Saccharomyces cerevisiae S288C: one gene and its partner. Changing the gene in region 1 together with any one later gene gives a genetic interaction. Each region holds a gene or a part of one and is shown on either strand. Other genes may lie near its edges.

The links.
Region 2: of DUS3 (region 1) and MOD5, changing one enhances a phenotype caused by changing the other (phenotypic enhancement), as found in Saccharomyces cerevisiae (one study listed by BioGRID).

Annotation. Positions count from the first base shown.
Region 1 is NC_001144.5:921,812-926,549, reverse strand, and holds DUS3 (tRNA dihydrouridine synthase DUS3), read left to right. Parts: upstream 1-2,101; coding exon 2,102-4,108; downstream 4,109-4,738. Other genes in the region: zinc-coordinating transcription factor SFP1, read right to left, coding at 1-982.
Region 2 is NC_001147.6:835,471-839,460, reverse strand, and holds MOD5 (tRNA dimethylallyltransferase), read right to left. Parts: upstream 1,788-3,990; coding exon 501-1,787; downstream 1-500. Other genes in the region: RIM20 (Rim20p), read left to right, coding at 1-377; TPO4 (Tpo4p), read left to right, coding at 3,030-3,990. UniProt on the Saccharomyces cerevisiae protein: Catalyzes the transfer of a dimethylallyl group onto the adenine at position 37 in the anticodon loop on a specific subset of tRNAs both in the cytosol and the mitochondrion, leading to the formation of N6-(dimethylallyl)adenosine (i(6)A).

The DNA of each region.
Region 1 (4,738 bases):
GCAACTGTTGTTGTATTATATTCTGCTGATGGTGAGGATGCTGAGATTGTCGTATTGTGGAGTTGGAATCCATGTTGCTCTGAAGATTGGCATGCATATTATTAATGGAGGTGTTATTAGTTGCATTGCTGCTATGAGCCTGCATAGTATTAGTCTTATGACCTGCATTTTTTGTATTAGCGGCCATGTTATTCTGCAGGTTATAGTTGGCAGAAGAGGTATTATTTGTCATACGAACTGATGAACTAGTGTTACCAGCAGAGTTCATCGGTATTTGTGACATATTGGTAGTGTTAGGAGACGTGGATATATGAGCTTCTTCGTAATGTCTCAGCAAATCATGCAAACCTGGTAAGGAAAGACCACAGCATGAATAATCTTTACAATATTGCTTTTCTAGATTTGGCAGATAAGCAGTGTAGGCTATCTGAGGAGAAATAGAATACCCTCTATGGTAAGGCGGATTACTAACAGAGGGTCTCTTAGTTGGTTGTTGAATCTGCAAAGTATTAGTGGCAGTAGTGGTTGCAGAAGCGGCAGCGGAGGCAGCACCGTTTGCTGATGCAGGTACAATACTATTTCTACGGCTAATAATTTCATCTCTTAACCAAGAACCAACACTAATGGATCCCCATGAAACACCACCCATCCCTTGAGAATGGGCTATTGATTCTCTCCGTAACTTGGCAATGTCCTGTGGAGTTAGTAGCGTTTGGTCCATTATATTTGGAGAGTACAAATGAACATTATTTGTATTATTCATGATATTTTTTTGGTGAATATTATTGACGCCGTTAAAATCTGTGTTTTTTCCATTAGAAGAATCCGAATTGTTATTTATCAAAATGGAAGGAGTATTCTGGTTCGAATCAATATCAATATTAAAGTTTGATGACGAATTTATAGATGCATGTGCCGATGTAGCCGTCGTAGTAGTACTAGTAGCCATATTGCTTGCCATAGTCATTGTTGTAAAATCCATACTCAGATAAGCTTTTCCTGTTTCGAAGAAAAATAAAAATACTGAATATGAATATGTCTTTTAATAACAATAAATTTGAAAACGCCTTACAAGTGAAATCTTGAGGTGATTAATAGTAGGTGAATCCAGAGAAAGTGTTTCGAGGATATAATATGGTATCAGAAAGCCAAAAGACGACCGGTATATTATAAACTTAGTATGAATGTATCGTGGCGCTTTTTTCTCCTAGCTTTATTCTTCTTGCTTTCTCGCTCTAAATATGATATTGCGATAAAAGGAAGTAGTTTAACTCACCGTAAAATCGATCAATATTAGAAAAACAGAAAACCACCAGAGAGAAGCACCGATATGTAATTGAAGTAGAAAAAAAATCTAGCTTTCCTTCTCTTTATAAGCGAACTTAATGATTAGATTGACTAGCGCTATCCTTCTTTGATTGTAATATTTGTCAAACCTTGTTAACGGAGCCACTAGAATGTACAAGACGTTATATAGGGATGACAGGTAGAAAAGAGATAGGGCCTGGGAGGTAAAATGCGTACGTTAGCCTAGAGAGCTTTAAATCGGTGACGATGCGAAAGCAAATGATAATGGCAATAGCGGTGGCAGGCGACAGTGGCAAGTGACAATGGCTGATAGTGACGTTATTTGATACAAAATCGCCTTTTAACGAATGCATCGCCCATTTGTTCCAAATTTCAATTGATTCGAAATTGCTCCTTATTATGTAACTGACAAAATCCTGTCCCCTTGCACGACGTAGGCGCGTTTTGTTTCTTTTTCCTACCGCAGACCACCTTGCGCACGGGAACGCCGCACTGTTTGGCACCCAGTCACCGCCCGTACCGTCGTTCCACAGAACATGCCGCAGAAACCTGTCGGGTAATAGTACACGGGATGAAGAGACTTAATGCCGACAAGCCGGGTAGGGGAATTGTAGCTCCGAAAAGCGACGGAAAGTTCAATATACAGAAAGCCCGTGCACCATTTTTGAAAAGTTTCATAAGATCTAGTTAAAGTTATGAAGAATTTAGTTCGAATGTGTAGTGATGAGATGAGCAGTAATGAAACATTAATGAACTCAGAATAGGAAAAAAAGGCAACTTCTAAACATTATTGATGGAGCAAAACGCTGAAAAACGCTCTATTGTTGGCGACGACAACTCAACCGTGAAGAGACAAGACACTTCCCCGTCCAAAGGTATTGCACATATCAAACCAGAATATATTGTACCATTGAAGCAGAATGAAAACCAGAAGGTCGCCATCTATGATGAAGAGATGTCTTCCGACAGAATGACAAACGAGTTTGCAGGTGGGACTAATAAGAAAAATAAGAACGGAAGAGGTAAGAAGCGTGGGCAAAACAAGAATAGAGATAACAGGCAGGTCAAGGAACAGAATGTCTTGTGCCCACGCTTGATCCATGGCGATATATCTAAATGCTCCTTTGGTGATAACTGTAGGTTTGTTCACGATATCAATCTGTACCTTTCAACAAAAAAGCCTGAAGTTGAAAGTAATATATTTCCTTCCTGTCCGGTCTTCAACTCGTTGGGATTTTGCCCCATGGGATTCAAATGCAGATTTTTATCGTCTCATCTGAATAAAGAAGATAATATCCTAATATCGAAGAAGGAGATTGATCCAGATGCGCAAACAATATGGTCCGTTAAAGGTGAGGTAAACCATATCTCACCGGAAAGAAAACTCGATCTTATAAAAAGAAGATTTCCTTTCACAAAAAGTAATGAAATATTGGAAATCATCGACTCTTTCCAACAAGAATGTAGAGATTCCATGAAGCCAGAAGAAGAAGTTGAGTCAACGCCACAGCTGAAGAAACAAGACCCAGATGTGGAACAACCAGTTGCCCCCCAAGTCGAACAGAGGAACAAAGAATTGTCAGAACATAGAATGAAACAGCGTGAAGTATACTTGAAGTACAAGGACACTCGTTATTTTGCTCAAGAAAAAAAGCCACTGGATTTGTACCACAAAAAAATCGTGTCGCCATTGACAACCGTAGGCAATTTACCATACCGTCGTCTAATGAGAAAGTTAGGTGCAGATGTGACATATTCGGAAATGGCCTTGGCAGTTCCCTTAATTCAAGGAACTAATTCTGAGTGGGCGTTACCTAAAGCTCACACATCAGAGTTCCCCGGGTTCGGGGTTCAAGTGGCCTGTTCTAAAGCCTGGCAGGCGGCAAAGGCTGCAGAAGCACTCGCAAACTCCGTCAGTGAAATAAGTGAAATCAACTTAAACTCTGGCTGCCCCATCGATTTGCTATACAGACAAGGTTCTGGTAGCGCCCTGCTGGATAACCCTGCAAGAATGATTCGTTGTTTAAACGCGATGAACTACGTATCGAAAGATATTCCTATCACGGTGAAGATCAGAACAGGTACAAAGGAAGGTCATCCTATCGCGGAAGGGTTAGTCAAAAGACTGGTTAACGAAACTGATGTGGCTGCGATTACCTTACACGGTAGGTCTAGGCAACAAAGGTACACTAAGTCTGCGGATTGGGACTACGTGAGTCAAGTGGCTGACACCTTGAGATCCGCCGAAGCGGATTTCATCGAAACCGAACAAGGCAAAGAAGGCAGGGATTCCAAGAACAGAATTCAATTTGTCGGAAATGGTGATGTCAACAATTTTGAAGACTGGTACCGCTATTTGAACGGAAATGAAAATATTGATAGTGTTATGGTTGCTCGAGGGGCCCTGATCAAACCATGGATTTTTGAAGAGGTTGAGTCGCAGCAGTATCTAGACAAGACAAGTACGGAAAGATTAGACATTTTAAGGGATTATGCGCAGTTCTCTATGGAACACTGGGGCACCGACGAATACGGCATTTCTCAATGTCGTAGATTCTTCTGCGAGTTCATGTCCTTTTTTCATAGGTATGTCCCCATGGGTATTTGTGAAAGATACCCTGTGAAGTTGAATGAGAGACCGCCAAACTGGTGTGGAAGAGACGAACTTGAAACTCTAATGGGTAGTACGGATGTTAATGATTGGATCAAGCTAAGTGATCTATTTTTCGGTAAAACCGACGAGAACTTTGTATTTGTCCCCAAACATAAGAGCAGCTCTTATGCAAACAGAGATTCCTAAATAGAAAATCAAGTGTACATGTATCATAAATCATATCTGATGGGTAAGCGCGGTTATTTTTCCTTTGCAAGACGAGAATTGGAATATGTACGGGTGTCAATTTCAAACGTGAGGTATGGGTTCCAAGAAAATCAAAATAAGCACAGCTGGGAAGGGTTAGGTAGGAGCGGAGAAAAGTGTATTGAGAAAATCTTAACGAGTTCGGACAGGTTATCATCGCAACACAAATGAACATAACTATCAACCTGATGCAACTGTACCTGAGTGGCTCAAATAGCAGGTAAATACAGGTGGATTTAGAAAACGCGCAGTGATTTGAATCTCGCAAGTCGCCTCTGAAAAAAGGCATTTCGCAAACTGGGGTGTCTGGAAAGTTCATTACATCCCGTTCACATAGCTCCTTCCTGGTACTTGAGTAAGTCTTTTAAAACAATTCAACATCTACTTTGTATCAGGCGCTTGGATTTACACTTTTGGCATATTTATTCCTACGCTGCAGTTGCTATTAGCCGCGGAAAGGAAGTACAATAACGTTTTACGTCGATTCGTGTTTGTATTACCCAGCACCTTTTTCTTCTTGAAGATGTATGCACCCGTGCCCCCGCTGTAGTAGCCCCGCGCACTTTGTGT
Region 2 (3,990 bases), on another chromosome or scaffold:
CAGTCGACTTTGAACCCATTTTCATAGGCCATTTAAAATACTTTGACGAAGATTTAAGATACGTTAATAGTACAAAGGAAGAAAATATCAAACTTATTGAGGAAGTAAACCTAAGTAAGAAGAATAACCCCGGCAGAAGCGGGATTGAACCAAAGAAAATGGTAAGAATAGATCCCAGAGAGCTATATATTGAAGATCTGAGATATTCCTTCAAACTGCTTGATGAGGTGAAAGAAAATTTAAGTGCCGGCACAGCATTTTACGAAAATTTAATTACTTCTACCAGCAATCTGTACAATGAGGTACAGGAATATGATACAGCAAGAAGAGCAGAAAAAGCTAGGCTTGATAAGAGTTTGACATTTGAAGACCAATGATACCTGTCCTCATTCATCTATAAAGTATATTTTGAGCTTGTCATCCTCCCTTTCCATTATCAAAACCCAGCTTCACTTATGTAGATATATACACTCAGGATAAACTCCTTTTTCCTAATATTTTCATTCCACAGTCTCCTTCTTGTTTATTTTCCATTTTTCAAAATCAGCTTGACGAGTGTTTCTTTTCAAGTTGGATTTATGTCTTCTGCTACCCAAATGAATTTTCCAATATTTTTCGCCAATAGCTACAACGTTCTTACCATCTGCGTTACGACAGACGTTGCAAGTATAATGTGTCCAATCGTCCAATTTCTTCATCGTAGTTTCGCCTTTAGACAACAGCTCCTCTAGGGCTTTAGGTGCCCTTTCTTGCTTGATGGGTCGATTGCTAATAAAGTCATTGGAAATAGCTATCGCTCTTTGAGATGCATTCGTGTCCCATTGAGAAAGGTCAGTGGCATCCAGTAAGTATATATCGCCTTTGATGTCAGGTATCAGCATTTTCTTGATCCATTTTACCTGCCTTTTTGCGTATTGACGTGTTCTCGTTTTCATTCTTTCTATACAATCCTCCAATTTTACTGTGTTGTCATCAGTTTTCCCGGTTAGCCACGGTAAGAATTCTTTGAAGCCAATAACTTGCCAAACACCATTCTCGCATTGCTCCGGCGTAAATTTATTTTGACTGTAATATTCATATAATTGCTTGATTTCTTGCAAGGCGCCTCTTTCTAGCATGTCGTCTACACGATCGTCAAGCCTTTGGAAAAGTGGCTCCGGCTTACTGTATAGCCATAAAAATAGGGTATCAAACTTCAAAGTTATTTTTTGTTCGTTAAATGTCTCGCTTGGTTTTTTGCCCGTCTTATAGTAGATTTCCAACATTCGTTGTACCCTCCTGTAGTCATTAGGATGGTATTTGGTAGCTATATCAGGATCACACTTCACAAGTGTGTTATAAATCACATCAGGGTCAGTCGATTCCAAAATATCGAGCTGCTTCCTTGTGAGCTTACGTTCGGATGATTTCGTATCGACCCGCTTATTGAAAAGAGTCTGCAAATAATAATGAGTACCCCCAACAACGATGGGTATCTTACCCCTCCGGTGAATATCTTCAATAGCGTTCATGCATTCAGTTTCAAAACGATGGGAATAGTATTCTTCTGACCAATCTACGTGATTCATTACATGGTGAGGAATGCCCTCTCTTTCTTGAAGCGGATGTTTATTTGTTATAATAGGAATATCTTTATATACCTGCATAGAATCCGAATTGATAACTTCGCCATTAAATTTTTGTGCCAATTGTATGGACAACTGAGACTTTCCTACTCCTGTTGTACCAGCAATCACTATAACTTTTTTAGACATATTTAAGCAACCTTTAAGCGGTCCCTTTAGCATGAAGATTTTTGGTTCTATTTACAAAAGATATGTACGTATAGTAGCTTATCTAATAAACTATACAGCCCTCACTGAGCTTTTCTTCTTTTTTGCCATTTTAGAATTTTTTTCTGTTTTAATTTTCTTTCCGATGAGCGAAAGATGAACGTGTGCTTTCGCCTGATTCAGTAATCAAGATCTTAGATCGACGTTGCCATCGAGGAGCAGCAACATAAGGAACTTTTACCTGATTTTAGCTTATACGAGCAAAATTCGCTCTTTATCTTTCGAAGGCATGACCACAATAGCGCAAGTAGATATGTAAATAAATCTTCCTAAACCGGTCTCGGAATGCAAAGAGCTTCGTATTTCAAAATTACCCGAATCCTATACATGTCAGGAATCAGGTTATACTCCCTAGCTCTTTTCCTGTTTGTCCATCTTTTTCCTATCATAGATGGTTATGGAGGCGGCTGTTTCTGTAAGAACTACGGAGTCGCGGCCCGGAATGGGAGAAATGCGAAGAAGCAGGCCGCAAGTGGAAGAAATTATTGGGGTAAAAGATCAACTAATGAACTCTGGATATAAAAAGTACAGTTAGCGTTTCTTCCCAACTTTCTTATGCTGCTATCAGCAAATGCATTTGCATAGGCTACAAGCCACAAGCCACAAGCCAATAAGGCATATGAATAATAAGAGAAAAAGTGCCTAATTGCTGTTTATATCAACCGTATGGCGTGCTTTAGCTGCAATAAACTTGTTTTCGCCGATTACCACTAATGGCCGACTTCCACGGATCCCAAAAATAGTGCCACGTCGGTACGGTCGGGCATAGTGGTTATTATTTCCGGGTTGTGACCCGCTTCGGATAATTGATCTATCCCCGAGGTAATAGGCCCGTGCGGTTCCGTCTTCATGAAGCTGCAGGGGCTCCGCTTAAAAGCCCCTGACGGCTCACCTTAAATCCGTGTTACGACACTATGCCAAATGAAGGAAACACTGAAATGATTGCATACCCGCACTCGTGCTTACATGCTAATTGTCCTTGTCAGAGCAAACGGTACCGGAGGCTTGAATGTGTTTATGTGTATATATATATTCGCCTGTATGGAAAGTTATAGGTTGTCAATTTGTTGTACCTGACACATCGATTTTCTAGTCATCACTTTCCTGAAAATTACAGAATAAAGATACCATCTTATACACACACATACACACACAAAGAAGCATAGACATCGTATACATATATTTTAAGTTTTACTAATGCCTTCTTCTTTGACAAAAACCGAATCTAACTCAGATCCTCGAACAAACATACAGCAGGTACCAAAAGCCTTGGACAAAAATGTAACTAATAGCGGCAACTTGGATTCGACTTCTTCTTCGACAGGGTCAATAACAGAGGACGAAAAAAGATCAGAACCGAATGCAGATTCCAATAACATGACAGGGGGCGAGCCAATTGACCCAAGAGATCTCGATTGGGACGGGCCCGATGACCCAGACAATCCGCATAATTGGTCCTCTTTGAAGAAATGGTATACTACTATGACTTCAGCTTTTCTTTGTTTGGTCGTCACAATGGGTAGTTCCCTATATGTTTCTTCCGTACCAGAATTGGTAGAAAGATATCACGTTAGTCAGACTTTGGCGCTTGCTGGTTTAACTTTCTATCTTCTGGGTTTATCGACTGTCATCGGCGCTCCATTAAGTGAAGTGTTTGGTCGTAAGCCTGTCTATTTATTTTCCCTACCTGTGTCAATGCTTTTCACCATGGGTGTTGGGTTATCCAATGGCCACATGAGAATAATTCTACCCCTAAGGTTTTTATCAGGTGTCTTTGCATCCCCCGCCTTATCCGTTGGATCAGGTACCATCCTGGATATCTTTGACGTGGACCAGGTCTCCGTCGCAATGACATACTTTGTTCTATCTCCATTCTTAGGGCCAGTTTTATCTCCTATTATGGCAGGATTTGCTACTGAAGCCAAAGGCTGGCGTTGGTCTGAATGGATCCAATTGATTGCGGGCGGTCTAATCTTGCCATTTATTGCGCTCATGCCAGAGACCCATAAAGGTATTATTTTAAGAAAGCGTGCCAAGAAGAGAAATATAGCCTTGAAGAAGTTCAGCAGGGAAGCTCAGAAAGAATTTTTAAAAACCACTGTCACTATTACAATCTTAAGGCCTTTAAAAATGCTTGTCGTTGAACCTATTGTATTTG